7 linked regions of the Callithrix jacchus genome follow. The protein of the gene in region 3 interacts with the protein of the main gene of each other region in a pairwise test. Links are inferred from orthologs where the notes say so. Each region holds a gene or a part of one and is shown on either strand. Other genes may lie near its edges.

Region 1 (3,769 bases), on a different chromosome or scaffold from region 3:
TTATCAGTCCCCCTCAGTTTGCCCTTTCCAATGAGCCAGTTTGTCACAACTCTTCACATGGGTTGGGCTACTTGAGTTGTGCCTACCTCCCGGCCACTCACCCATCCCAGCCCTACCACGTCCATTCAACAGTGTCCACTCTCTCACCCTCACCAGGGGATGCTCACCTTGGCTGAGCTGAGTGAGCCGCATGCCCAGGCAGACTCCCTGGGCGGTGATCACTGGCCCCGTAGACAGTGGCAGTGGCTGGGGTGGTGGGAGCACTGGGAGGCCAAGGCGGGCCCGGACGTCCCCGAGCTGCTCCTCCAGCTCGTGCAGCCTCCGCAGTGCGTCTGCCTGGACCTGGCGCCGGCGCCGGCGCTGCTCGGTGCTCAAATCAGGGGCCAGGGCCAGGCGGCGGGCAGCTGCTGCAATCTGCTGCTGCACCGACACCTCACGCTCCAGGGCCTCAAGAGCCAGCTCCTGTCGGGCCCATCCAAATGTTGGAAATGGCCAGGCACAGGGACCTGGTGGAGCCAAACCCACTAGAGGCTGTCCTGCACTTCCAGTGGCCTATTCAGGCCTATTCACCTGCAGGTGGAACTTATTTACCCCAGGGAGGGGAGGGGGCAGGGCAGGGCAGGGCAGGGCAGGGCCTCTCTTGGTGAAGGACTGGGACTGTTTATCTTCCTGAGCATGGGAGGCCTGTCCTGACAGTTAGGGACCAGCATCCTCCCTCATTGCAGGAACCTACCTCCAGAAGCCCTTTTCCTTCTCACCTTAGCCTCTCCCTCACCTGGCCACAAGCCCCCTCCCCATACCTTCCTCCTGGCTACTCCTCTGTACCTGTCCCCTCTCCCCACCCTCTTGCTCTCCACACCCATCTGCTCACCTCAGCAGGGCACAAGGAGTGGTGTGCTGGGTTGGGGTGTGGTGGAGGGTAGGCGCGGGCTGTGGGGGGCCGCCGGCGGACCAACTGGGGCCGTTCACCAGGCTCCAACGGGCACTCAGGGGGCAGCTGGCCAGTCAGCTCCTGGTGGAGGGCAGAAGTCAGAGACTACCAAGGGTTAGTTGGAAGGATGCGGTAACACATTAATGATCCCAGAAGCTACAGAAGTCCTACCAGGAGCCTGGCCCTGCTCAGCACCCACACACGATACTTCCCTTCCTCCTCCCATTATGTCCAACAGGCAGGCGTGCCCAAATCTCAATGGCCCAAACCCCTGTGGTGGTGGGCATGAGAGGCAGGGAGACCTGCTTTGGGATCCAAAATTGTTTCATTTTTATAAAAGCGATACCATCGAGATCCTAAGTATTATATAACTCCCTTCGGGGGCTGGGGCTGCGTGGTCTGAGCTATAGTATTATTTCTGGCACACTGTGGGCATTCACAGTAAGAGGGGGAAACTGAAACTACACATCACCCTGTGCCAGTTCAGGTCTGACTGTGCTGCCAAATTTTGAACAGAACCTGTTTTCTAAGGTTTGTTGGATTTGAAATTGTCGACAGGGGATTGTGTGCCTGTATTACCGTATTTCATTCATTCTAACACAGCTAAGCTGAGCTTTGAGAAAGTGGGTGACAGAGAAAAGTGGGTGACACAGACAGGACAAGTGGTTGAACAACTGCCACCCAAGTCTGTCTATCTAGGGGACCCAGCTCCTCACCTCCCCCACCACCTCCCCGCCTGACACCCCTAGGGCCAGGCCCTTACCGCCTCCTGGAGACACACTTTGCGGAGCTCCTGAAGTTTCAGGCTCAGGGCCTCCTGTAGGGTCCGCTGCCGGTCAAGCAACCCCCGCAGACGCTCTGACTTCACCTGGGGGGCAGCCTCTCCGAACAGGGCAGCTGGACACAGAGGGAGCAAAGATCAGTGGGACAGCCAGGGCATCCTGGAGCAGCTGTGGGGCCAGGGACCAACTCTTCCCAAGCAAGCAGGTGGTGATTTAGAGCAGGGGAGGAGGCAACAGGAGGGGAAGCAGCCACCGACCTGGGGCATTGAAGGTAGGAGAGCTGATCAGCTGACCTTTGACTTCCATCTTGGTGCTGTTGAGAGGCCGTGGCTGATGGCTGGACAAAGTCTGGCAGTGACACACAGGAGCCGTTAAGGAAGCACGTCCCATGATACCCCAACCCCCAGCCCTTCCCAACTTCCCATGCCACAGCAGGGAATAAGGGGTAACCTGGGCCCCACGTGCCTGCTTGACCTGCCCTTTCAGAATCCGTGTGGATGTCTGGACCCACTTGGCCCTGGTACCTTGGTTCCCTTCGCATTGAGTGGGAGCACAGCAAGTGGGGAGCTGGGCGGACTTACAACGCCTCCTCAGAGGCCCATGGGTCACAGCCAGGAGTCTTGCCTGGGGAGGGAGAATTAATGGGACAGATTCAACCAACCATAAGAACAACAGCCACGCAGTCAGCACCTGGTTGCCTGCAACAGTTACCTACAATGCCACAGTGAATCTTCACAGCCACCTGGGAAGATTCATACTCCCATTTTACAGATGAGGAGAGGAAGGCACAGAGGTGAAATAACTGGCCCATAGCCACATACATAACCCAGGTCCACCCCCTGGACCTACACTCTTGCTCACGAGAACCGCTTCAACTCCACCAACTTCCTCATAAGTTCCCTGGTCCCTCAGGCCTCAGGGTCTTTGCCCAGGCTGTGGCTGCTGCCTGAAATGCTTTCTTCAATCTGTCACCACCCCAGCCCCTTCGTGTCACTTATCATTCTAAAGCTTAAATATCACTTCCACAGGGGGCCCCTGTGTTATATTCTCTCACAAATGGTTGTCCAACAAGAGATTATGCCTCCTGGAACATCCGCAATGATAGAAAACATTATCTGTCCCATTTTCATCAGCATTGCCAGCATCCTGAACACGGCTGTACACGCAAGTGCTCAATGAATGGGTGCCAGGTGAATGAATAAAAGACGGAGTAAATGAATGAGGAGGCAGTGGAGCCAGGGTTCAAGCCCAGATCTGTGGGTCTGTGCTTGTCCCAACTCCATTCTGTAGCTCTAGTGCAGCAAGGAGAGTGTTCACTAGGTTCACTTGACCCAGGGTCCCTCCAGCCCCTCTTCCCATGCCAGCCTGTCCTGAGCCTAGCTAGGGAAGTCCCCCTGCTGGAATTTGTAAGAAGTAAAGTCCACAGCTGAAAATAACAAACCACCTGCCTCCTGCCTCCTGCCTCCTTCTCTGCCCTCAATGCCTCTGCTGACCATGGAGCCTGACTTGGCTGGCCACCAGCCCTGCCCTTGTCCCCTCCTTTGGAGTTTGCTCCCTCCCTTCCACATCCTGCTCAGTCCCCAGCTGGGGAGCTGAGTGACATCACCTCCCACCACCTGGCCTAACCTCAATGGCAGGTGACTGGGAGGGTTTTATGGGGCCACAGAGTTCCCATCATCACCTACCTTGAACTTGGCAGCTTGTCATGACACTGTTAGCCTGGTGTGAGGAAGACCCAGCCAACCAAGGAGGCATGGGTTCAAGCCCCTTCCCCATCTGTATATCGTAGGGTGAGGCCAAGCTGTCTATAAGGTGTCAGTTTTCTCTGGAGTCCTCCTACCTGCCCCATAGGGCCTGTACCCCTCTCTTGAAGCAGTGGTGCCCTGCCTTCAATAGCAGGGGTGGGAATCAGTCCCTAAAGCCTTTTGACAAACCCAGGCCCCAGCAGAGGCATTCACATCCCCACTCATCTAAGGTCTGACATTTCCCAGCATGGCAGGAGTTTCTCCACACCCCAGCTCACTGGGGCTCCAATTTTCCCAGGCCCCTTTTAGGC
Region 2 (4,471 bases), on a different chromosome or scaffold from region 3:
TACTTAGTCTGTCAAGACTAAGTAACTTTCTAAAGGTAACGTACCAATATACTTACCCCACACAACAATTTGTTTCTTGAAGAAATATGACAGATAAATGGAATGCTAGCCAATTTAAAAGTTTTATTGTTATTTTTGTAACTTATCGTCAGTCTTCAGCTGATTACCAATGTGATACCAAAAAGCCTTTTGAGACAAATGTTTGAACCATTAGTGTAGAATTATATTGCAGGTTTTTTAGAATCTACCTTTAATTGCCTCTATTTCTGGTATACAACACAAGATTCATCAATATTGTAATATAGAAGATACAAGAAGAAAAAAATGCAACCATTTTACATTAATTCTGATTTGGAAAACTACTTAAAAGTAAACTGCATATTGCATGCAAGCACAACTACATATTCTATTTACTTGTAGGTTCTATTGCAGTACTGTAAACTGTGAACATTTTCATAAAAATCACCTAAAGTACTAAGCACTGTTCTAATCTCTTTTCACTACTCTTCACTTCCATTGAATAACTATTATATAATCTGAATTGGCTACACAATAGAAACACTACTCAGTTTCTCATCATGCTCCACTACATTAAAAAATGTTTTAGTAATAGTGGATTTGCAAGAATACAAAATAAAACGTAAACATGAACTTCTATTAGACCTTTGCTGAAGGTTAACACATATAAAAGTAGTTAAAACATGTTACAGTATCATAACTCAAAACTTAACAGTGATGACTCCAAATGAACATGAAATCAAGCAAATACCAACAAGTTTATTGTTGCTAAATTATGAGCTGGGTGGCTTTATTTGGAAACACAAATTTCAAAATAAGATTTCTGTTTTACCCAGTGCCAATTTTAAGCAAACAGGGAAAAATAAACATATCAAAGGACAATGATATGTGATCACTTCAAATACATCTTAACTAAACTGGATCATCTTGTCTTTGGAGTTTTCAAATATTCTTCTAACAGGTTTCAACTCAGATACCAGGGTGATAATCACATTGCAGTAACTAGTGAATGACCAAAACACCAGACTTTCCAAGTACGTTTTAGGGAGTAAATAACATTTATCAAATGCATATAATTGGCATGGGCATAAGAGGCATAATGTAAGAGACTATGGACAATAAATTCATATACGAGCAGCTGAAGAACAAGATTTTTTCTATAGGGTCACTATGTAAAGTACACATAAACCTATTTTAAATGTATATATAATAACCATTATTGTGTTTTGCAAAATTTTTAATGAACTTCAAACAACCCACATGCATACAAAAATCTTCTTAATTTTTAAATGCAAAGACAGCTACCCTACCTTTTAGAATTTGGTGCTATTTGACATAAAATTAAACTGCTCTGTTTGAGCATTTCCCAAAATTCTAGCAGAGAATTCTGGATTCTTTCTATAATTACATATCTTATAGAAATTACGTATCTTATAGTATCTTAATCTGCTGAGTTGACCAAAGAAATACATTATTAAGTTAAAAAACAAAACAGGTTACTGCTGTTCGTATAAGATTTGTTTCTCTTTGGAAACACAAGGACAATAAAATGAAATCCCAATGAAAGATGCAGAAAAAATGAAATATGACTGCAGGAGTCCAAGAATCCCAGGATGGGCTTGGATGGTGTGAATTTATACTTTGGAAGTTAAATCTAATAATTTAAAGATATAGTCTATTCAAAATTATAATCCAAATGCTTAACATTTGGAAGATAAGTGCACATTTAATAAAGGAACATTATAACTTGCAGAACTTTTCCAAACGACATCTTTTAAGGCAGTAAAAACTTGATAAAAATGTTCTTGATTTCACATAAGGAAATAAATTTCCTTTCCTTATTAGACAAGTTACTGTTTTTTCCCAAACTCCAGGAACCACAATATTCTTGGACTCCAGCTCCCAATACTCGTTACACATACAACCCGCAGTATCTACCTGCACTTGCCAGACTGTTACCAAAATTGAACGGAGTCGCCGAGGTAGTAGAAACACCGAAATTCCCAATATTAAAGTTCACTGCAGGATTAGCAGTTAATCCGAAACCCCCAAAATTAAACCCACTGGCGGTGGAGTTGGCAGTCTCAAGCCCACCAAATCCTGATAGGCATGTAGGCAAAGAAACAAAATTTTAAAAGGAGGGAGAGGGAAAAAGAAAAGAAAGCAAGATAAGGATTAGAAGAATCGGCAGGAGGTTTCACAGAAGTGAACAAACCTGGTTTTCCTCCAAACAGGTTAAGAAAGCAGAGGCGGGTGGATGGGGGGAGGGAATGGAAGAAGCACGACCTATATAAGTCCCATAGCGAGGACCACAAGGGTTCGGGGCTGGAACTAAGGGTGGCAAAGGACAGTGCCGGTGGATCGTTATCCCTATCCTCGCCGAGTGCGGCAGCGGGAATCACGCGACCATTCCCGCCCATCCGGGAGCCTGAGGTGCAGAAGGGAGGGAGACTCTCGGGCAAGGGAAGAGGGGAGCAACCTCCAATTTCTCTGAGTAGGAATCCCTGGCGGCGGGAAGAGCACCGCTGAAGCGAGGGCCCTGCGGGAACTCACGCGCAGCACGCGAGCTTCTGCTGACACCACGAGTACCCCCGCGGCCTCCTCCGGAGCGGCCTTGGCCCATTCTGCCGCCGCCCGCCCTTTTCCAATGGTGCCGGCGGGAGATCGCAGGATCCCCAAGCCGGAGAGTCTCGGACAGGGGGCGGACCAGACCCTTCCCCTCCTTCCCGGGTGAAGGTCTAGGGGGATCACTCACCCGCGGGGGCCGCGGTGGCTGCAGCGGTGCCGGAGGTGCCCGAGGGAGCCCCAAAATTGAAGGCCATGTCGCGAGAGCAGGATACCAAGGAGGCACTCCCGCGACCCGCAGTACGCTCCTCTTCTCAGTCCGGCGGGGAAACCGCCAGTCAGATCATCGAGTTCTGCCTCTTTTCCGGCCGAGCCTAAAAGGCCGGAAAGCGCCAAGGGCGTAGGAGGTGGGTGGTTGTGCGGGAACGCCCCCAGCTGGCTCACTTCCGGGGAGTTTCACAAGGTGTTGGGTATCACAATGGTACAATTAAGGTAAAAGGCTGGGATGTTCGCGAGGTTGTGCCTCCTGAGAGTCCTTTAAAAACGGCCGTAGGAAGGTTCTTTGGGAAAGGTATGCACGGGCTGACGTTGTTACTGTAGGGATACGTGGTAGACAGCTAGAATTTGCATGTGATAGGGTCGAAGTTGCTGCCCCATCAAAGAGCGGGCCTGGGAGGTCGCGAAGCTGGACTGGGGTTGAGAACCCCCAACCACCCAGGAGGAGGTGGTGTTTGAATCCTGTGCTGAAGGATGAGTAGGCGGAGCGGAAGCAGTAAAGAGGAGGCACGCTGGAAGAAATGAAAGAGAAGAGAATGGAGTTGTAGCAGACACGTTGCGTTTACTATATGCCAGGCACTCTTCTAGCCATTTTACGTAATTTAATCCTCAACTGTCTTGTCAGGTGGGTTACTGCTATCCCCAATTTATGGAAGAGGAAACAGGTACCAGAGTGTCGGGCTGTGTCCAGAATCTGTATTCCTAACCACAGCTGGTAAGGGAAGCACTGAAAAAGAGGGGAAGAGTGGCCCTCCTCCACTGTACTTGTAATATCATTTAATCTTAAGAATAACTCAATAAAGGAGCTTCTGTAACTATAGGTTACAGAAGGTGAGATGAGAGGATTGAGGTTTGGAGTTGTTAAAGCAGCTGGTTCAAAGTCACCTTACAGGTAGTTTCTGGAGTCGTTTTGAACTGATGTTTCTCCACTCCAGAGTGTCAATTTGTAAAAATTACCATATTATATTGCCTTGTAATTTATGGTAAGGATTTCAGACCATTTCTGGTGGGTAATGGAAAACCTTTAAGGGGTTTTAGGCAGAGGACTAGTATGATTAGAATTTTATTTTTAGAAGATCCCTCTGACTGCCATGAGGAGAATGGCTTGGAAGGAGCCAGCGTGCCTCAGGAAGGTAGAGCTTTTAGGAGTCTGTTGTAGTTGTACAGTTAAGAGATGAGAATGACTTGGATTGTATCTGGTAGTGGAATTAGAATAAATTTGAGAGATACTTAAGAAATAGCATATGTGTTTGTTGGCCTCATGTATGTCTTCTTTTGTAAAGTGTGTGTTCATATCCTTTGCCCACTTTTGAATGGGCTTGTTTTTTTCTTGTAAATCTGTTTGAGTTCTTTGTAAATTCTGGATATCAGCCCTTTGTCAGATGGGTAAACTGCAAAAAATTTTTCCCATTCTGTTGGTTACCGATTCACTCTAATGACTGTTTCTTTTGCTGTGCAGAAGCTGTGGAGTTTGATTAGGTCCCATTTGTCTATTTTGGCTTTTTTTGCCCATGCTTTTGGTGTTTTGGTCATGAAGCCCTTGCCTACACCTATGTCCTGAAAGGTTTTGCCTAGATTTTCTTCTAGGGTTTTTATGGTGTTATGTCTTATG
Region 3 (2,861 bases):
TGGGAACTGGCTTGGCCACCCTGGAGGTCAGTTATGCCTGGCTAGAAAGGAGGGGAGATTGGAGCAGCACATATGGTGAGGGTTAGAAGCAAGGAGGAGGGTCCCAGCAGCAGGCTGTGAAGAAGGCCTGCGGTCCTAGAGCAAGCACTGGTCTTGGAGTCCTACAGATGCAGGCCCAGGCCCAGCCCTGCTGCTTATCATCCATCCACAAGGCCCGGGGCAAGTCCTTCTTCTCTCTGCCTCCAGTGACCTCATCTCTGAGGTGGGAATAAAATCCTGACCACCTAGTGGTGAGGATTAAATGAGCCCCGTGGGTGAGCGTGCCTGGCATTGTGCCAGCCATGCAGTGGTGCACCAACACAATCAGTGCAATCAGTCATCTGGTAAATATGAACAGTTGTTAGATGTGCTGAGTTCCGTGCTGGGTAAACCAAACTGTTCTAAGGGAACTTCCCAACCCTCACTTCCCTGGTCACCCCTTGGTGACCCAGAAGAGCAAATCGCCTGAGTGGCACTGTGTTTGTCCCAGCCACCAGCGCCCTGGGTACCCAAAAGAATGAATTGTGGCCACACAGGGAAGAGGCCCAAGTCAGGGGAGACGTCAGTCAGCATGTGGACCCTGGGTCTCCTCAGAGGTCAGAGGCCAGCCAGGACCCCATCAAGAAAGACTGGGCATATTGCCAAGATATATTTGCAAAAGGAAAAGTAATTCTTTATTGCAGGAACAGACACCGTACAAATGAGCTCATTACACAATACAGCTGCTTCTTGCACCTCCTTGCTCTAAAGAAGTCAGAGAGAGGTAGAGGGGAACAGAGCGCATGCAAAGCCCTGAAATAAGATGCCGAGGGACCTTTTCCAGCTCTCAGAAGGCAGGGACTGGGGTTTGCATATGCAGCACCTCTGGCCAGTCCTCCACTTGGCCCGATGAGAGTAGGGGGTGTCGAGGGACGTTTCTCCTGCGATGGGCACTTAGATGTCTCTCTTGCGGGAAGAAACCACCTTTCCATCCACTGACTCCTCCACGTTGATGCGGAAATTGCTGCTGCCACCGCCACCTCCCAAAGAGGCTAGAGAGAGAAGGAGCAGGCTTTGGAATAGGGGAACCTCCCCTCTCTCCCAAAGTGGCCGGGACCTTGATGGGGCTTTGGGGAAACTAGACAGCACCCCTGAGAATGGCCACCAACCAACCCCTTAAGAGCTGCCAGAGATCTGTTGTTGAATTAATTCCTTGTCACAGAGCTGGGCAGTGGCAACGACATGAGGGTTTTGAAGCTGTGTTCAAAAGGGGATTCACTGTGGGCATCTTAGCAGAAGTACATGAAGATGGGGCCTGGGGAGAGACATACCCTGAACGAAGCCTACTCAACCTGGAAGTTTCTCAATAAATCGCCAACCCACTCTCACCTGGGGCTGGCAGAGGGCCCGCTGGGAAAGAGGTAATGGAATGGGAATGTTTCCACCTAATTGGACGTTTGGGCTCTTTCTCCTTCCCTCCCAATTTCTGCAGGGAGTGGTGGCCCTCCCCATCCCACACCAAAAGAGTGAAGCCTTCCTACCTTCCCTGATGCCAGCGCCAGCCATCCTGAAAGAAAGAGGGAAGCTAACTTAAGCAAAGGGCAGGAGCTCAGGTGTCCCTAAGAGAAGCTCACGTAGATAGCTCTGCAGCCTCCTCCAGAACCTACACCACCCACACACATGACTCCTCTAGGGGTGGGACATCCTGCTAGCCCATCCAGGCCTGCCACCCCCAAGTAGATAGATTCTTTTTTGGAGTTTTTTTATTTGTTTTTTGAGACTGAGTCTCCCTCTGTTGCCTAGGCTGGAGTGCAGGGGCATGATCTCGGCTCGCTGCAACCTCCACCTCCCGGATTCAAGTGATTCTCCTGCCTCAGCCTCCCAAGTAGCTGGGATTACATGCCCATCACCATGCCCGGCTAATTTTTGTATTTTTAGTACAGATGAGGTTTTGCCATGTTGGCCAAGCTGGTCTCAAACTCCTGACCTTAGCCTCCCACAGTGCAGGAATTGCACGCATGAGCCACCGCGCCTGGCTGAGATTCTGATCTACAAGAATACCCATCTATTTCATGCAGAGAACCGAATGAGCACTAGATCTTCACTATCATTAGCCTAGCCTCTATCATTTGCAGAAGAAACACAGATCCAGAGAGAGGAAGTGACCTGCCCCAGGTGACAGTCAAGGACCAGAGTGCAGAGTTCAGATCCTCTCTCCTTGCTCAGTTCTCTTTTCACAGTTCCTCCAGGCTGCCACGCCCTGCCATTCCCTTAGGATGACCCTGCACCCTAGCCACCACCAGCCCTCAGCACTCCTCCCCCTGTGCCCAGGCCCCTACTTGGCATCCTGGCCCTCAAGCAGGCTGCGGTAGGTGGCGATCTCCTGCTCCAGCCGCGTCTTGATGTCCAGCAGCATCTTGTACTCCTGGTTCTGAGCCTCCATCTCACTGCGGAGCTCACGCAGCTGTGCCTCCAGGCCACTGATGAGCCCCTGGATCTGCTGCAGCTGCATGGCATAGCGGCACTCCGTCTCCGCCAGAGAGTTTTCCAGCCCAGCTTTCTGGGGGAGCGACAGGTACATAGACACATTAGGCTGAAAAGGAACCCACTGAGGGCAGGCAGGAGGCGGGGGGCACTGAATGGAATGCAGGGAACCACCTCTAGAGGGGACCTGAGAACTCCAAGACTTAACTAGCCAGGAAGGGTGGGAGTTTCTACTAGCCAAGAGGCCGGGATGGGGGACGCGGGTGGCCGTACCATGCTGAGCTGGGACTGCAGCTCGATCTCCAGCCCCTGCATCGTGCGTCTCAGGTCTGTGATCTCCGTCTTGCTGGTCTGGATCA
Region 4 (3,769 bases), on a different chromosome or scaffold from region 3:
TAAGTATGTACAAAAAGAGGAATGGGCAAGAACCATTGAATATAAAAAAAAAAGACAAATGTGGACAGTGGCAGGAAAAAAAATAAGTATATCTATAATGCCCATTTACAGTAACACTGACTAAATTACATTATATAAGTAACAAAGTTAAGCAGAAACAGGTTTTTTCTTTTACCTGATACTGCTCATCACCTCATACCTGTCCCCTCTCTTTTTTTTTTGTTTTTTTTTTTTGTTTTTTTTTTTTTTCTGAGACAGCATCTCACTATATTGCCCAGGCTGGTCTTGAACTCCTGGGCTCAAGTGATTCTCCAACCCCAATCTCCCAAAGTGCTGGGCCACACCTGACCACCTCATACCTTTTCTAAAACATCATCTCCTCCCCTACTAAACCTTTTTCCTCAACCTATAGTAAATATCCAAAAATGAGTATTAGGAAAATCCAACACAAGAAGCTTTACTCTTCTGTATGCCAAAAACAATTTCCATTAATAGCATTGCAAAAATCTACCAGATTCTGTTGTAAAGAACAGAACTCAGAAAGAAATGAGATTTATTCCATCTGCAAGGCACCTAACAAGCGGAAAAGAGATGGTGGCATCATGCTAGATTGTGAACTTCCACAAAGACGGAATCCTATTTGGATAATCTTTATATCCTCATTGGTTGGGATCATACCTAACAACCTGGTACATGAAACATATTTGCTAAATATTTGATAAATGTAAAAATCAATAAACAAAAGAACAAAACAACCAAACTAACAATAACTTAAGAACTGTACAATTGGTATTGGCAGGTGAAAAAATTTGAAACATGGTCTTCTCACAGCATAGCAAATGGTTAAGAGTATAAGCTCTGGGCCAGGCATGGTGGCTCATGCCTGCAATCTCGGCACTTTGGGAGGCCAAGGTGGGCGGGTCACCTAATGTCATGAATTCAAGACCAGCCTGACCAACACGGAAAAACCCCGTCTCTACTAAGAATACAAAATTAGCCAGGCGTGGTAGCACATGTCTATAATCCCAGCTACTCGGGAGGCTGAGGCAGGAGAATCGCTTGAACTCAGGAGGTGGAGGTGGAGGTGAGCTGAGATCATGCCATTGCACTCCAGCCTGGGCAACAAGAGGGAAACTCCATCTCAAGAAAAAAAAAAAAAGTAAAAGAAATTAGAGGCAGAGTCAGATTAATGCAACCGTTCAAATAAGTATGCTATTTCTTTTTTTTTTTTCTCAAGTATGCTATTTCATTTCATGCCATTTGCTATAATCAAATTTCAGAAAACGTAGCTTAGGGAATGAAAGGTTGCACAGGGGCCCTGAGAAGTAATGTAACATTGTACTGTCCTATAGCATTCAGTGGGGACTATAAGGGTCTTGAGTTGTGGAAGGCTATGAATTCTTCACCCACATTTCAACCTGTACATCATCACTTTTATCTATTGTATTTGGTTACATTTAAATTAAAGCTTTAATTTGAGCAGAGTTAATCTCTGCAAAATGAAAGCTTGCAAAAATTGCTATGTTAAATTAAAAGCCACATAGTTGTAGTAATATTAGCTGCCATTATTGATTCCTAGGTGCTAGGGTGTAAGTGTTTTATATAAATTCATATAATTTACAAAACTTTATGAGGTATTAGTCTCCCTCTTTTATACAGATGAGAAGGCACAGAAAGTTAAACAATTTGGTCAATATCCCTACCCTATTTTCAGAGCCTATACTCTTTGTTTCTTTTTTTTTGAGATGGAGTTTAGCTTGGAAGTGGGCAGCGCAATATAAAAAATCATTGATTTAAAGAACAGATACTGGGTATCACATGTCCTTTCTTACCTAACGGAAAGCCAAAAACACCAGACTGTGCAATCATGGGTGGTTCAAGGGTGCCTTCATGGTTAGCAACAGCGATGTTTCGTAGCCTAAGGCTATCATAGAGGCCTTGGAGCTTTTGATACTGACGATTGCGCTCCATAAGTTTCTCAGAGATGTCACTGAACTTTTTTTTGTATTCTTCTAGCACTTTCTTCATGGAGGTGACCTCCCCTTTCATAGAGGTCAATTCTACATCCTTGCTTTGTATTTGCTGAGTATATATTTTCTCCATCTGTTTCAGATGGCCCTCAGCCTTGCTGAAATTGTATTCTTGATAGAGACGTTCTTGATGTACCTGGTTCCAAAAAAGAAAGGATTTTTAAGGTATTAGGTTCCAAGTTATATACTATAAAATGTTACACAAACACAAAAGGAAAATAAAGATGCTTAAACAGGGATGTTATTTTAACATTTAGAACCCAGTTTAAGAAGCAATCAGTATATACAATGAGGTAATATAGAAAACAATAAGTTATGTTACTAAATGCATAGAAAAAAGTCTGGAAGAATACTCTGAAACCACTAACATTATACCACCAAAAGAACTGAGTTTTTGTCTTAATACATGACATGTTTTTCAAAGATTTTTAAGAAATATAATCCCATTTTTCATGTAATCCAGAGCATGAAGAACAGACTCTAAAACAGTTATCATTGTCGTCTGGTACGTACACCCTTGTGTAACTCCCTGTCCCCTTGCATGTGGGCAGAACCTGTGACTAGAATATTACAAACAATGTAACAGATTGTCACTTCATGAGTTTACTACCTAAGACAATAAGGTCTTACTAGGAGACACTCACCCTTGCTGGCTTTGAGGAAAAAAGCAGCTATGTCAGGAAGGTTCAAGAGGCAAGTAACTAAGAACAGCTTCTGGCCAATAGCCAGCAAAAAACTGAGGACCCAATGAATCTAGACAGACCTTACACTTTTCACAAAAATAAACTAAAATAGTTCACAGACTTAAATATAAAATGCAAAACTATGAAACTCCCAGAAGCTAGTAATAGGGGAAAATCTAGGTGATCTTGGATTTGGCAATGACTTTCAAAATACACCAAAGGTATAAACCATCAAAGAGAAAATTGATAAGCAGGACTACATTAAAGTTAAAAATCTCTGCTCTGTGAAAGGCCCTGTGAGAGAATGAAAAGACAAGCCACAGATCAGGAGAGTATATTTGCAGAAGATAGATCTGATAAAGGACTGTTAACCCAAAATACACGAAGAACACTTAAAACTCAACAATAAAAAAAAAAATTTAAAATAGACCAAAAACTTCTCATGTACCTCACCAAAAAACATACACAAAGGGCCAAGCACGGTGGCTCACACTTGTAATCCCAGCACTTTGGAAGGTCAAGGCAGGCAGATCACCTGAGGTCAGGAGCACAAGACCAGCCTGACCAACATGGTGAAATCCCATCTCCACTAAAAATGCAAAATTAGCCGGGCATAGTGTTGCATGACTTTAATCCCACCTACTCGAGAGGCTGAGGCAGAAGAATCACTTGAACCCAGTAAGTGTAGGTTGCAATGAGTAGAGTTTGCACTGTTGCACTCCAGCCTGGGCAACAAGAATGAAACTCCATCTCAAACAAACAACAACAAAAAATGTGTGTGTGTGTATTCTTGTGTGTATATATATATATATACACAAAAAAAAAATAGCAAAAAAGCATATGAAAAGATGCTGTATATCACATGTCATCAGAGAAATGCAAACTAAAAAGACATACCACTATACACCTATTAAAATGGCCAAGATCCAGAACATGGACAATACCAAACTCTGGCAAGGATGTGGAATTCTCACTCATTGCTGCTGGCAATGTAAATTGGTACAGCCACTTTGGAAGACAATTTGGCAGTTGCTTACAAAAGTAAACATACTCTTA
Region 5 (4,292 bases), on a different chromosome or scaffold from region 3:
ACCCCAAGCCTAGTTAACTTTTGTATTTTTAATAGAGACAAGTTTCACCTGTTGGCCAAGCTGGTCTCGAACTTCTGACCTCAAGTGATCTGCCCCCACCTCGGCCTCCCAAGTGCTGAGATTACAGGCATGAGCCACCATGCCTGGCCTTAGTTTCCACTTTTTAGATGCTCACATCAGCATCTTATGTCTACAGTAACTTGTTTAGAGTAAAGGGAAAGAAAAAAAAACTGATAGTAGTAAAATATTTTAATGACATAACCACACAGTAATTTCAAGCTTGAAATACTACTGCTGCGTGTTTTATATACAGCTACTATGAAACATATATGTCAAAGTTTCAACAAGAAAGCTACTCACCACCATCCCTCTCTCTAACTCTGTGAGTATGCACATTTTTGGCCTTACTGTGACCTGTGCTGTCACTGTATTTGTTTTCAGGACTATCAGATCTCCGCAACATTTTATTTGGTGGTGAAGGATCTGCGGCGTCTCGCATCTTTTCATGTCTGTGATCACCGCTACTGGGGTGACTCTTTGATGAATACTTAAGTGCCTGTAAAACATCACCCCCCCAAAAGAGAGAGAGAAAGAATTGAAACCTTAAACTTAACTCCAGAAACTAATTTAAACAAATTTTGGTGTATTAACGTCATCAAATTTTATGAACTTAAATTTCCACTTTGAATTCTGCTCTATTCTTCAAAGTTTCTCAGACAAAACCTAATGCTTAAGTGTTACAGTAACACTCCTGGTACAAATCATAATACTAAATGAAAAAAAAAAAAGAATCACTCCATTATCTTGTAACTAAATCAAACCACCTTGGCACACTGATTCTGAAAAAAAAAAAAATTCTGGGAATATTTAAAATCACTTTGAAAGTTTACTCAGAGGAAAACTAGAAATTCAGTACCACTGCAATCAATTTCTGCTATACAACTGATATGCACAAGCATATGAATAAGCACACGCGTATTTTTGCAAACCTACCAAAAAAAAAAAAACCCACACACCAGTTTCTCCAATTCTATGATTCAAATAAAGCATTTCAGACCTAACTTCCCTACTCTTACAGGTGTGGGAAACAATTTTAAGGTATAAAAATATTGACCAATACACTAAGGTGAATACTATTTCTAAACAAGCATAATGCACTCAAAATAATAGTTTAGCTTTATTCCAACATATCTTAAAACCACCATGATGTACTAGTCTGTTACAATGTGTAATTAGTTATGCTTTGGAGGACAGATTCAATAAGGTTTAATTTTTGACATATCCAATGTTTTACACATCAGAGAACAGTGTTTTCAAATTCCGCTGTATAACAACACAGGAATCAGGTTAGAAACCTGCTCTCTGATCTTTTAAAATCTAGAAAGGATTTCCGTAGTCATCTGATGATTACCAATCATTTATATTTCCCTTCTGAAAACTGGGGCCACTTCTATCATAATCCTTAGAACTTTACAAGCAGGGACTGCAGTAACAAAAAGGAACCCGCCTACCTAGAACCACCTACATCAGAATGAATTATCCAAGTACCAAAAGATCTCAATTCTTACAGAAACAAAAGCACACATCTTTTACTTGTACAGCAATTAAGTATACCAAAAATATTAAAAGGGGAAATAGCACTTTTTACCGACTTAAAAGTTGTAAGTCATTTAGCTATTTATCCCAGGTCCTTCACTTAATTTTAATGCCTTTACATTAACTTCCAGTTCCCCAACACAATAAATAAATAATTAAGCCTCGGAAGTCACCTATCATCTCATCCCTTCGATTCCTTCACCCGCAAATAATCGAGTCAGGTCTTCCTGGCTGCAAATGATTCTTTTTTTCCTAAATCAGCGAACTTCCTCCAGTCACCTGTCAAAATAAGTCACTAAACCTTGCTGGAGAGGGCCAAAAGCACCAAACCCCGAATTTTAAGGGGACCCGCGGTGCTGGTTTCCGATGTGTTACACCGAAGGGCCTGTAGCGACTTCTGAGGCCTGCGCTCGAGTAGCAGTCCCTCCCTTCCCCCTTCGGCCCCTTCCAAACCCTCCACCCGGCCTCGGCTAGTACCTGGTAAGGCTGCGAGTCCCCCCTCCGGTCGTGACAGCTGAAAAACAGGAAGAGAAAGCAAAGACATAAGACAAGGCGTGGGTGGGGGGCCAGGGAGGAAGAAAATGGGTCCCCAATCGCCCCTCCCCGCGGGAGACCTACCCAGCGCCCCGGCGCCGAGCCCAGCGCGCACAAGGCGCAAACCCCGAGCCTCCGGGAGGGCCGGGGAGGGCGAAACGCCGCGCAGCCGGGCCCCCGCTCCCCGCCACAGTCCGTCCCTGCCAGCCCGCCCGCGCGGCCGCTCCTCCTCCCCAATCCGATCCGGATCAGGGTTAACAACAAAAATGGCGGCCCGGCCAGCTCTAGATAAGAAGGAACAGCCCCCCCGCCGCCGCCGCCGCCGCCGCCGCCGCCCCCCGCCGCCGCCGCCCGGCCCGAAACGAAAAGACAATTTACCCATCACTGAGTCTCTGCTGTTTCCTCGCATACATTACCATCAATGCCCGGCCTGTGAGTGTGTGTCGGGGAGGGGGGAGAGCGGCCGCGAGAGGCGGGCGGGCGGGCGAGCAGGCGGCGGCGGGCGGCGGGCAGCCCCGGCACCTGGGCCCGGCGCGCCCTCGGCGACTCTCAGCACCTCCCAGTTACTGGCGCCGGCGCTCCCGGGCCATCTCCCTCCGTCGACACCACGCTCACTCTCAGCCGGGGAAGCGGCGCCAACTACACGGCGGCAGCGCGAACCGGGGGGAGGGGGGCAAGAAGATGCGTCCGGCTCAGCCCCGCGGAGAGCGACTGCCTCCTCCGCCTTCTCCTCCTCCTGCTCCGCCGCCTCCTCCCCTCCTCCCCCCGCCGCCGCCGCCGCTGCTGCCGCCGCCTGGTCCTTCTCCTCCTCCTCCTCCACCTCCTCCCGCCGCCGCTGGTGCCGCCGCCGCCGCTCCACCAACTACATCCGGGCAACTCGGACGCTGCCGCCTTCGGGAAACCTCGGCAGTTTCCGACGTGCCCCTCCTCTCCCACCCTCGGCCTTCCTCTCCTCCCCGCCCCGCGCGGGTCCGGAACGCCGCCCTCGGCAAACCTCGGTTGGCCCCGGCCTCTTTCCTCCTCTGAGGCCTGGCTCTCCTCCTCGCGACCTGTCAGCCCTTTACTTCTTTTCCTCACTCGCGAGTCCGGCCACCGCCGTTTCCGTTTAGGGATAGTCTCGCTCGGGCACCCGCTCGAGGCTGGTCCCAGAGGCTCCGGGCTGCGCGGGGAGGGAGCCGCCTTCCGGAAGAGGACGGTGGGGCGCGAGGGAAGCCATCGCGGACTTAATAAGGGAGGCTGCGGCGGCTGCGCGTGCGCTCAGAGGCGCCGCGGGAGGGGGTACCCTCGGGCGAGCTCTCCGGCCGCGGCCCCCGCCCCTATGGGCTCGGGCGGGGAGGTCGGAAACCCCCTGGCGAGACCAGGGGCGGACGCTTCCGATGAGCTGCCTGGTAGGCAGTCGCGAAAGCTACCCTCTGGGTAGCTGGGAGCGTACTCCAGCGCCTTCGGGCCGCTGCTGGAAGCCGGAACCGAGCCCGGGCCGCTGCCCCTCACCGGTCGCCGCGGGCGCCACGGGCCCTCCGTGGCGCAGGGGCTGCAGCAAGCTCGCCGGGCGTCCTTTAGACGTAAGTCTCACCCTGCGCCCCGGAGGGGGAAGGAGCACATGCTGGCCCGGGGAGAAACGGCCGAGAGGAGGAGCTGAGGGGTGCTGTGCCCGAGGCGGAAGGCGGTGCACCACGGCGGCCCTCAGCGGAGATGCCTGCACGGAGCGGGTAACACCATTCGGGGCAGGGAATGAAAGCGGTGCTTGATAGTGGAAATTTAGGGAGATGGGTCCCTTGGAAACAGCCCTGAACTGTCTCACTGCCCCACCTCCCCTCCCTTTTTTTGAGACAGGGTCTCGCTCTGTCGTCCAGGCTGAGTGCAGTGGCGCGATCACGGCTCACTGCGCCTCGACCTCAACGGATCCTTCCACCTCATCCTCCTGAGTAGCTGGGACCACAGGCATGTACCACCACGCCCGGCTAATTTTTTAAAGTTTTCCTGGAGATAGGTTCTCACTATGTTATTCAGGCTGGTCTTGAACCCCTGGCCTGAAGCGATCCTCCCGCCTCGGCCTCCCAAAGTGCTGGGATTACAGGCGTGAGCCACGGCGCCCGGCTTCTCACCCCTTTTTAACGTTTTGCATACCCAGCTGTGCCCCGCCCACCCTCTATTTATCTCTC
Region 6 (3,769 bases), about 5.0 Mb from region 3:
TGATTCAACAGTGCAGAGGATGTGCCAGGACCAGGCCAGCAGGGTCTCATCCTGAACTTCTGTTTGCCAATGGGAGGAAGTGCTCAGGTGTGTGACAAGAAAACAAGGAAACAAAACAAAACAAAAATTAAGGGAAAAAAAAATACCAAAGTAGGATCTAAATTCCTTAAGTTCACTAAAAACTGTGAAAATTTCCGGCATATGATGTTTGAATATCAAACGCAGAGATTTCTGAAGCTTTAATGCCAATAGTTAGTGAGTCTGTTTAGATTCTTGTCTCCCGCTCATCTGTGAGTCGGGCGCTGAGCTGTGGCTGCTACTGCCAGATGCCGACTCTTGAGGGGGACGGTGGGAGGCGAGGTGGGCGCCGCCTCGGTCTCCCGGCCAGTCTTGCTGCCTGAGGTGCGCCGAGTACAGCGGGCTGCTCGCTCTTGTGCATCCAGCTGGTCCTCACACTCTGCCTGGGGACTGTGCGCCAGGGGGAAGGTCCGCCGTTCCCAGGGCTGGACAGACTGTAGGCAGACAAGTTGCTCTGTGAGGACCCAGTTGCAGCCAGCCTGCTTCCTGCTCCAAGGCTCTGCCATAAACCTTGTGGCCTGGAGCCTAGGACCAGTCTATTTGGAGTTCCCCAGGTAGTCTGGGAACACCCCTCATAGGGTGGGAACCTTTTTAACAATCATCAGTACAGTTCCACTGGACGTTGAGAGGTCAATTTAAGTGCAGCCCCTTGTCCCTTCAAAAGGGAGGAGGAGATGGCTTATGATGTAGATCCCTCTTCAGCAGGTGCTGTCCCTTCCTGGTTCCATCCCTAACCACGCCAACCCCACACAAAGGCTGTGTCCCTTACCTGTTCATCCAGCCCCAGCTCTGGCGTGGAACAACGGGTATCCTCACTGGCTAAGTGTCTCGGAGTGTCCCGAGCCATAGGCGTGAGGGGTGCAGAGTGCAGTTCCGGGCTAATGGGGCTCCTAGGGGACTGGCCATGGGCGTATTCCGACAAAGAGTGGCTACTGCTGACATCAGGGGAGGCAGGCTGTGGGGTGGAGGGGTTGGCACTGCCCAGCTGGGGGGTTGTCCGGCCGTCTGATGACCTGTAGGACCTATACATCAAGGAATGCAAATCTGAGTGCCTGGGAAATATGTTTATTTATGGGGGTAGAGGGCATGAAAAAAAGCATCCCCACAGGAGGGGCTGATGTGAACGAAGACTAACAGATTTTCCTTCGGATCCAGCAATTCCCATTCTTCCCACTACTCTCTGGAGGGGTAGGTATAAAACATCTACCATCCCAAGAAAAAACCATGGCTGAACAATGCCGGGGTGAGTCGCTATCAAAATGCCTACTGAATTCAGGAGGTAAGGAAGATTCGTATAGACTTTGAAAACTGTAGTCAAAGAAAAAAAAGTAAAAATAAGAGCCCCTAAAACGTTCTACTTGAGAATCCCGAGGGTTTCTGCCACTGTTAACAATAAATGGAGATTGGGTAGTGATGGACATAAGGGGGGCAGTTCCTTCAAGTGGCATCACAAAGCCACTGTCCAAAGGAAGGTTAACTTGTAGTGGGGCCTTCCAAGCTCCCCTGGTTGAATCACCATGACCCCTCAACTGCCTTCCAAATGGCACAGATCACGGGTATTTATCAGAATTGAACAGTGACTCCTCAGCAAGGATTTAGCACTTGGCTCCTTATACCTCCACTAGTTCCAACAAACACCAAGGAACTTCTGAGCACTTTCCCACTGCCAGTAGATGAATATGATGACCAACCAAGAGACAGCAGCAATTCCACAGACTCAGGTAGGGCCCCAACTCCCTGTCTACCCTCTCTCCACAGGCCCTGGGGACCCATGCCTGACCCATCACCTGCTGCCTCGCCGCTGGGGTGGCACACTCGTAGTCCACAGCCACCGTGCCCTCTCCATCTCCTCACATTTGGCATGTAGGGCGGCGAAGGCTGCGTCGGACAGGTCCTCAATCTGCAACGGAGAAACTTTATCAATCCCCTCTTTTCTCCTAGAGTTAAGAATCCCACCCCATTCAAGGCTCTTCCCAGTCAGGACAGGAATATAAGGAGCTTGCACTTGACACCCAAAGGTCTTGAGGTCATGCCATCTAGGGTGTGTGCACTCGTGTGTGTGTGTGCACACATGTGCGCATGTATACACGTGTTCTTCTAAGAGAAGGACCATGCCATTACCTCCTCATTCTCCTCATCAGGACTCCCCTTCAGAGACTGAAGATCAACCTCCCGCCAGCTGCAAAACCAAGAACGGACAATCATGAGATAGCAAGCAGGCTGCAACCCAGGGCAGGGTCAGAGTGTCCATGCAAGGATGAGAATCCTGCACCCACGTGACACTGCTCTCTGTTGGGCAGGCTCTGCCCTACCACAGCTCAGTCTCCTCACCCCTCAAGGCCTGTGAAATTGGCCACCTACTCAAATGCCTGCGAAGGCCAGAAGTTAAAGAAGCGGCCTGGGGTGGGCTGAGGCTAAGACACTGTGACAAACTCAAGAAAAGAAACCTGTTTAAAGGGGACCATCACTGTTCAGGACCAGCTGACTGCTCCCATATGAAAATGCATATCCAGGGCTGCCTCATTTTCTGTTCGGCAATAAAAGCTGGAAACACAGAGTTTTGTTTTGTTTTCAGACGGAGTTTCGCTCTTGTTACCCAGGCTGGAGTGCAATGGCGCGATCTCTGCTCACTGCAACCTCCGCCTCCTGGGTTCAGACAATTCTCCTGCCTCAGCCTCCTCAGTAGCTGGGATTACAGGCACGCGCCACCCATGCCCAGCTGATTTTTTGTATTTTTAGTAGAGACAGGGTTTCACCATGTTGACCAGGATGGTCTCCATCTCTCGACCTCATGATCCACCCATCTCGGCCTCCCAAAGTGCTGGGATTACAGGCGTGAGCCACCAGAGTTTTATGTGAAATCCTGCTTTGATGTTGACAACAAATTCAGTATTTTAAAACATACTGTATGTGTTGACAAAACCTGTCTCTAGACCAGTAAGTCAGTGGTCTACCAGGTTGTGACTGCTGGTTCGTTTGGTGTATACCTATAATGGAATGAGAGAGAACTATACACAGAAATAATTTCGCTCTTATCAGATAAAGAATTTCTCTTAATGAGAAAAGAGAACCAAAGACTAGGGCTCAAAGCTTGGTCAGAAGAGAAGAGGGAAAAGGCAATAGCAGGAAGAATGAGGAGAGGAGCCAACTATTCTGAGCTTCTACCTGGGAGTAAGGATTTCCTTGTATTGCAGTTTCTCTACGCGGGTTGTTGCAGCAACAGACATTGGGATGACAATGTTGTTAATATCGAATGAGCTCTCTCCCCTTCTCCTCCTTACTGGCTGCTGCTGTAAGATAAAAGTTAAGTTTAAAGGGAGGCACAATTTTATAGACATCAAATCATTCACCCAAGACTTAAAGCAGGATCACCAGTAACAAGGCATCTGGGTCCTTGGGTTAAAACTGAGTAGTGACCACAGCAGCTGCTCCCACCTAGGAGTCAGACTACAACAGCAAAAACCTCACAGAGAAATACTAGGAAGTTGTGAGGAGTTATTCCCATTCATAAGTCCCACTGGTCACCCTCTTCCTTCATGGACTCATGTGTAAAGAGACTGGTTAAATTTCACAGGTGGGGTTCCTACTCCATATATACCTCTGTTAACCCCCTCTCCTTTTAAAATCCTCGTTTCCCTCCTTTATCCCCATTTATGACTCAGACTCATAGTGGCCCTCCCTTAAAAGCAGT
Region 7 (4,477 bases), on a different chromosome or scaffold from region 3:
ATTCATAGAGGCTTACTATTCCTGGAGAAAGACATAAGAAAACCAGAAGATAATCCACCAGGAACCACTGCCTCTATAGCCACCTACCCATCAAACAGCCTGATGAGCAATTCCAAGGCAGGCCTAGTTCAGATCTAACCACTTAGCTATTCAGTCTAGGGCTGGGTGGGGACCCAGTTTATTGGCAGGTGATACAGAAGGCATGTAGTCCAGTAGAAGCCCTAGGTGAAAGTCCTCCAGGACCCCCCCCAGAATGAAGCATGCCAGAGCCCAGCCCTGGCACAGTCAACCTACTACCCTCTAGCCCACTGAACCCCTGCCCACTTTTCTCACTCTCCCAGAACCAAAGAGCTCCTGGGGGGTGGGCCTGGGCTCTGCTTCATCAAGGGCTGCTGACAGAATGAATCCAGGACTCCCTGTCATGGGATGACCTTGGCAGTCATTCTGCAAGGTGAACAGGAAGGAGGAGGAATTGCACCTGAATTTCTGAATAAGGGATGAATAAAAAGGCTCGACAATGGTTTTGTGAGATGAGGCAGAAAGTTGCCACCCATTAAGGTCAGTGGGTCAGTCTTAGAGCTGACGGTAACTGCAAGAGAGCTCCAGGAAAAAGAAAGGATGGCACGACGTCTTTTATGATTATCCTCCCCAACACACACACATGCACGCACACACGCTACTTGGAAAAGCCCTCACTGGTCCTCTAAGCAAACAGAGGATGGGCTTTCAGCATCTTTCTTGACATCAGTGTCAAGGAAGATCATCTGGACTTGGGCTTTCTCCAACACAAATCTCCAAACTGGGATCCAGGGAAAACTAAACGGACTCCATACTGCCAAACATCCTGTGTGAACAGGCAGGGGTTGGTGGGGAGTGGGAGGAATGTGGCCCCTCCTCTGCCACAAAACTAGCCCGTGTCCTGCTTCAGTTTGGGTTATGGTATGTTGGCAGAACAGCCATTCCCAATCCTTTCCCTCTCCCCACCCCGGGCTCCAGCTGCCCAGAGCTGGGGACTGGGGTATGAGTCTGGAGGGCACCTCTGTACCAATCCTTCCTGGCACCCATTCATGCGCCCCCACACACAACGAGGGGTAGATATTGCAAGACTCCGGCGCTACCCGAGGCAAAGCAAGCAAACGGGATTTAATTCGCTCTGGAGTTTTATCTCGGGGCATTTCCTTAAGATAATTACTCTCTGGCCGACTCCCACAGAGGCTGCAAGGGAGCGGCCGGAAGGAATGCGGAGCCTTCCCGACAGATTCCGGGCGCTCCACAGTGTGCGGGGACTGGGAGCAAGGAACATCTCCAAGGCCTCGCGAATTTGTCCCGGCCAAGCCCCTCAGATTCACGACCTTTCAAATACCAAACGACCGAGCCTTAACTAAAACCTGCTTCCGCGCCCCCGGCCGCGCCCCTCTGCTGCGCTAGCGCGCTGAGCTCTCTGAAGGCTGCCTGTCTAAGCCAGCGCGCGTCGGCTGCCTTGGCCTGGGCTCCAGCTCGCCTAAGGAACCAAAGTGACAGTCTCCAAGCCGGGAGACTCTCGCACCCCAGCCAGGACTCCAGCTCCACCACGACCCCGGGCGGACCTGGATCGCCGGTGGTCGCGGGTACGCCTGGGGCTAGCCGGTGAGGGTAGCCCGTGGCCCGGAGAAGTCTTTAAGCATCGCGGGTCCGCCTCCCTCCCTCTCGAGCCCTCTTTGTTTTCCAAATACTCCAGCGCTGACGTCACCGGGCTGGACAGCAGGCTGCATTCTTTCTAGGTGAGAGCCAATTCGTGTCTCCAGAGAGGATTTTCCAAGGAAGACAAAGAGGAATTCTTGGACTAGTTGGAGGCAAAGGCACCTGTAACCCCCACCTAACCAAATCAACCCGCGAGACCCTGCAAATTGAACCCCAAGCGGCGCCTCCAGGCCTGTCCCCCGTCACCCCCACCCCGGCCTACCTGCAACCCGAAACACCGTCGCCTCTATAGAGTCTGCCCTCTCCGCTCTCCCCCAGCCCCGGGGGACCGGCGCGCTGCTAGAGCCCCGCAAAGCCAGGGGCGCTGGGCTCCCAGGCGGAGCGGCCCTTGCCTGGCACTGCGGCTGCCTCGAACGGGCGCACTACGCCCGGAGTACGCTCGATCCTCCGGGCTCCGACTCCCGGAAAAGGCCGGGCTGCGCCGAGACTCCGGCTTTGGCCGGGGCACGTCTCTGTGGCCTCGCGCGCTCTCCCCAGCGCCAAGCGGCCTTCCTTACCGCTGCGGCCCGCGGGTGCCCAGCACAGTCAGACACTGCAACCCCCGGCTCGGCCCTGCTCAGCTCGGCGGCGGAGATGTATTCTCGGCAGTGGCGCCGACGCTCTGGCAGTTCGCGCCCCAGCGCGCAGCCCCAGGGTCGGTCCGCGCTGGAGGCGGCTGTTATGCCAGGAATGTGAGAGTTTCAGGTTCCCCCTCGGGATCAAAGCGAACCACAAATAACCTCTCAGCGCGCCGCCCTCCTCCGCCCTCCGCCTCCTCCAGCTCCCTCCTCCCGTCCCCCGCCTTCCTCCCGGGAGGCGGCGCTGCTGGCTGAGCGCCGGGCCGGCCCCTGAGCTCCGTTCCTCCGCACTCAGCGCCCTCCAGGCCGCAGTGTGTCCGCCCCTGCCCCCCGCTTTGCGATCGGAGCTGCTGGAGACAATTTAATACAACTCGGCCCATTATTGCTTACACCCCTAGTCGCCGACCCGCTCTCCACCCTTCATCCCGAAACCCATCGACGGAACGATACAGCAAGGGCTGTGCCACGCTTGTCCCGGGGTTGCTGCGGGAGAGGCTCCGGCTGTGCGTGTGTGTGTAAACCGGGGGAGGGGGTAAGGGAAGAAGGACCGCAAAGACGTCTATATCCTCAGGGCTGGGAGCTTGTCCCGGGAGAAGTGAATACTTCCAGCCTCCGAGCCTCTCTTTCCCCTAACCCCCAGTGCTTTCACCCCCGCGGCAACCTTTGAATTGCACTTTTGTTTACAAACACCTTCACCAGCTCTTTTACGAACCTTCTCCACAGGAAGCGTGAATCTGTGTTGGAAAATCCTGTCAATTTGATCCATCTACCCAACCGAATCTCCCGCCGCCAGGCGCTCTGTCCACCTCTTCCCCAAGATAATAGGCGCCCCTTTACGCAGAGCGCAGGGTGTGCCACCGCCGGCTTTTCTCCCAGTCAAGCGATCCAGCCTTGCCTAGCATCCTCCAACGGAGTTCTGTTATCATCCCTGTGTTATAAATGAGGACACCAGGGCTCAGAGAGCTTAAGCAGGGTGCCCAGAGTCACACAGAAAGAACCAGACAACCAACCAGGGGCTGCTTGGGTTTTCATTCTCAAAACCCCTCCGTTGCCATCAGAATCCGGGCTCCCTAGATGGACTGGGCAGACGCCAGGAACCTTCCTCTTTCCACCTGCCCGCTCCTTGTTTTAGTCTCTTCTTTACCTCCCCCTACACCCCTGCCAGCCAGCGGCCTTCCCTTGTATCCACTTCTGTGGCTCCTGCATGGAATCTTCTTCTCTGCCCCCAGGACACTTCGTCTGCTAGGTGCAAACCCCTTCTTCAGAAAGCCTTCACTGACACACCCTGTCCCAGTTCCCACTACACAGGGCCTCTCTACAAGTCAGTTGGGCTGAAGTGGGGGCAGTCAGGCCCCTGTCCACCCAGAGAGTCAGGGCTGATTTCTTCTTCCCCTGGCTGGGTCCTCCCCTCAGCATGGAGTTTGCAATTCCCAAATTCACCGGAGGGAACCAGGGACAAGGAAACTCTGGAAGCTTAATAGCCAGGGACATTGTTAATTTTTAATAAAACTCCCACAAAAAGTGTGTGTGTGTTTTACTTGGAAGCCAAATACTGTTTCAAATAGTGATTGCATCTGAGATGATTGAGCAAATGGGTCATTTGTGAAGAGGTCTCTGGGTGGCCTTACCTTATGGACAGTGTAATTGGTGGAGGAGGGGAATGGTTGTGGACATGTGTACTCTGGGTTGTAAAATCTCGGGAAAGATCACGTCTTTCAGGCATTTGGGGGGATACCTCACAACATGTTTGACAAATATTCTTGAGATGGTTGCAGAAAGGCATCAGTTCAAGGCAGCTAGAGCAAAGGGGGTACATCTTGGAGTGGACAGGCCTGCTGCAGAGCCACACAGGTCCCCATGATTGCTTATTTCTACCTCCCAAGGGGACAGAAGGGGGAGAGGGATCCCAAAACCTAAATGAGAAATGTGCATGTACTTTTCTTATTTTTCCCTTCTCTTTTTCTCTGCATGAAGAATGGAGGGCAGCATCTTCCAAGCATGGGGTGCCGATAGGCTCCGTGGAGCCTGCTTAACCTGGCAGCCACCCCAGCTCTGCAGGGTGGCTGGTCGAGAAGGTGACCACCATTCAGATGTGCCAGAGTCAGACCTCCACAGGGGACACTGGGCTGGCCAGCCTGCTTGTATATGAATCTTTGCTTACAGCAACGGGGAGAGAGGCT

The links.
Region 1: the proteins of KRT15 (region 3) and CCDC120 interact in a two-hybrid assay, tested with the Homo sapiens proteins (2 studies listed by BioGRID and IntAct). The link is inferred for Callithrix jacchus from reciprocal best matches to the Homo sapiens genes KRT15 and CCDC120.
Region 2: the proteins of KRT15 (region 3) and NUP54 interact in binary tests that used the Homo sapiens proteins (3 or more experiments, as listed by UniProt). The two-hybrid records come from large-scale screens. The link is inferred for Callithrix jacchus from reciprocal best matches to the Homo sapiens genes KRT15 and NUP54.
Region 4: the proteins of KRT15 (region 3) and CCNB1IP1 interact in binary tests that used the Homo sapiens proteins (3 or more experiments, as listed by UniProt). The two-hybrid records come from large-scale screens. The link is inferred for Callithrix jacchus from reciprocal best matches to the Homo sapiens genes KRT15 and CCNB1IP1.
Region 5: the proteins of KRT15 (region 3) and WAC interact in a two-hybrid assay, tested with the Homo sapiens proteins (4 studies listed by BioGRID and IntAct). The two-hybrid records come from large-scale screens. The link is inferred for Callithrix jacchus from reciprocal best matches to the Homo sapiens genes KRT15 and WAC.
Region 6: the proteins of KRT15 (region 3) and KANSL1 interact in binary tests that used the Homo sapiens proteins (3 or more experiments, as listed by UniProt). The two-hybrid records come from large-scale screens. The link is inferred for Callithrix jacchus from reciprocal best matches to the Homo sapiens genes KRT15 and KANSL1.
Region 7: the proteins of KRT15 (region 3) and AMOTL2 interact in binary tests that used the Homo sapiens proteins (3 or more experiments, as listed by UniProt). The two-hybrid records come from large-scale screens. The link is inferred for Callithrix jacchus from reciprocal best matches to the Homo sapiens genes KRT15 and AMOTL2.

The regions. Positions count from the first base shown.
Region 1 is NC_133524.1:49,609,831-49,613,599, reverse strand, and holds part of CCDC120 (coiled-coil domain-containing protein 120), read right to left. Parts: intron 2,338-3,769; coding exon 2,179-2,337; intron 2,062-2,178; coding exon 1,971-2,061; intron 1,829-1,970; coding exon 1,695-1,828; intron 1,013-1,694; coding exon 872-1,012; intron 463-871; coding exon 168-462; intron 1-167. UniProt on the Homo sapiens protein: Centriolar protein required for centriole subdistal appendage assembly and microtubule anchoring in interphase cells. Together with CCDC68, cooperate with subdistal appendage components ODF2, NIN and CEP170 for hierarchical subdistal appendage assembly.
Region 2 is NC_133504.1:121,962,969-121,967,439, reverse strand, and holds the start of NUP54 (nucleoporin p54), read right to left. Parts: upstream 2,898-4,471; 5' UTR 2,841-2,897; coding exon of another isoform or gene 2,774-2,840; 5' UTR 2,439-2,773; coding exon 2,234-2,438; intron 2,119-2,233; coding exon 1,957-2,118; intron 1-1,956. UniProt on the Homo sapiens protein: Component of the nuclear pore complex, a complex required for the trafficking across the nuclear membrane.
Region 3 is NC_133506.1:91,742,086-91,744,946, reverse strand, and holds the end of KRT15 (keratin, type I cytoskeletal 15), read right to left. Parts: coding exon 2,776-2,861; intron 2,579-2,775; coding exon 2,358-2,578; intron 1,586-2,357; coding exon 1,560-1,585; intron 1,071-1,559; coding exon 973-1,070; 3' UTR 689-972; downstream 1-688.
Region 4 is NC_133509.1:55,034,096-55,037,864, forward strand, and holds part of CCNB1IP1 (E3 ubiquitin-protein ligase CCNB1IP1), read right to left. Parts: intron 2,167-3,769; coding exon 1,833-2,166; intron 1-1,832. UniProt on the Homo sapiens protein: Ubiquitin E3 ligase that acts as a limiting factor for crossing-over during meiosis: required during zygonema to limit the colocalization of RNF212 with MutS-gamma-associated recombination sites and thereby establish early differentiation of crossover and non-crossover sites.
Region 5 is NC_133508.1:28,790,087-28,794,378, reverse strand, and holds the start of WAC (WW domain-containing adapter protein with coiled-coil), read right to left. Parts: upstream 2,550-4,292; coding exon 2,509-2,549; coding exon of another isoform or gene 2,178-2,508; exon of another isoform or gene 2,111-2,177; coding exon 2,075-2,110; coding exon of another isoform or gene 2,074-2,074; exon of another isoform or gene 2,019-2,073; intron 576-2,018; coding exon 361-575; intron 1-360. Other genes in the region: uncharacterized protein LOC118143121, read left to right, coding at 2,178-3,239; uncharacterized protein LOC144576520, read left to right, coding at 3,507-3,839.
Region 6 is NC_133506.1:86,771,231-86,774,999, forward strand, and holds part of KANSL1 (KAT8 regulatory NSL complex subunit 1), read right to left. Parts: intron 3,369-3,769; coding exon 3,244-3,368; intron 2,258-3,243; coding exon 2,200-2,257; intron 1,979-2,199; coding exon 1,866-1,978; intron 1,101-1,865; coding exon 848-1,100; intron 513-847; coding exon 285-512; 3' UTR 1-284. UniProt on the Homo sapiens protein: Non-catalytic component of the NSL histone acetyltransferase complex, a multiprotein complex that mediates histone H4 acetylation at 'Lys-5'- and 'Lys-8' (H4K5ac and H4K8ac) at transcription start sites and promotes transcription initiation.
Region 7 is NC_133518.1:49,808,178-49,812,654, reverse strand, and holds the start of AMOTL2 (angiomotin-like protein 2), read right to left. Parts: upstream 2,811-4,477; 5' UTR 2,688-2,810; intron 2,429-2,687; exon of another isoform or gene 1,943-2,428; intron 1,629-1,942; exon of another isoform or gene 1,587-1,628; intron 1-1,586. UniProt on the Homo sapiens protein: Regulates the translocation of phosphorylated SRC to peripheral cell-matrix adhesion sites. Required for proper architecture of actin filaments.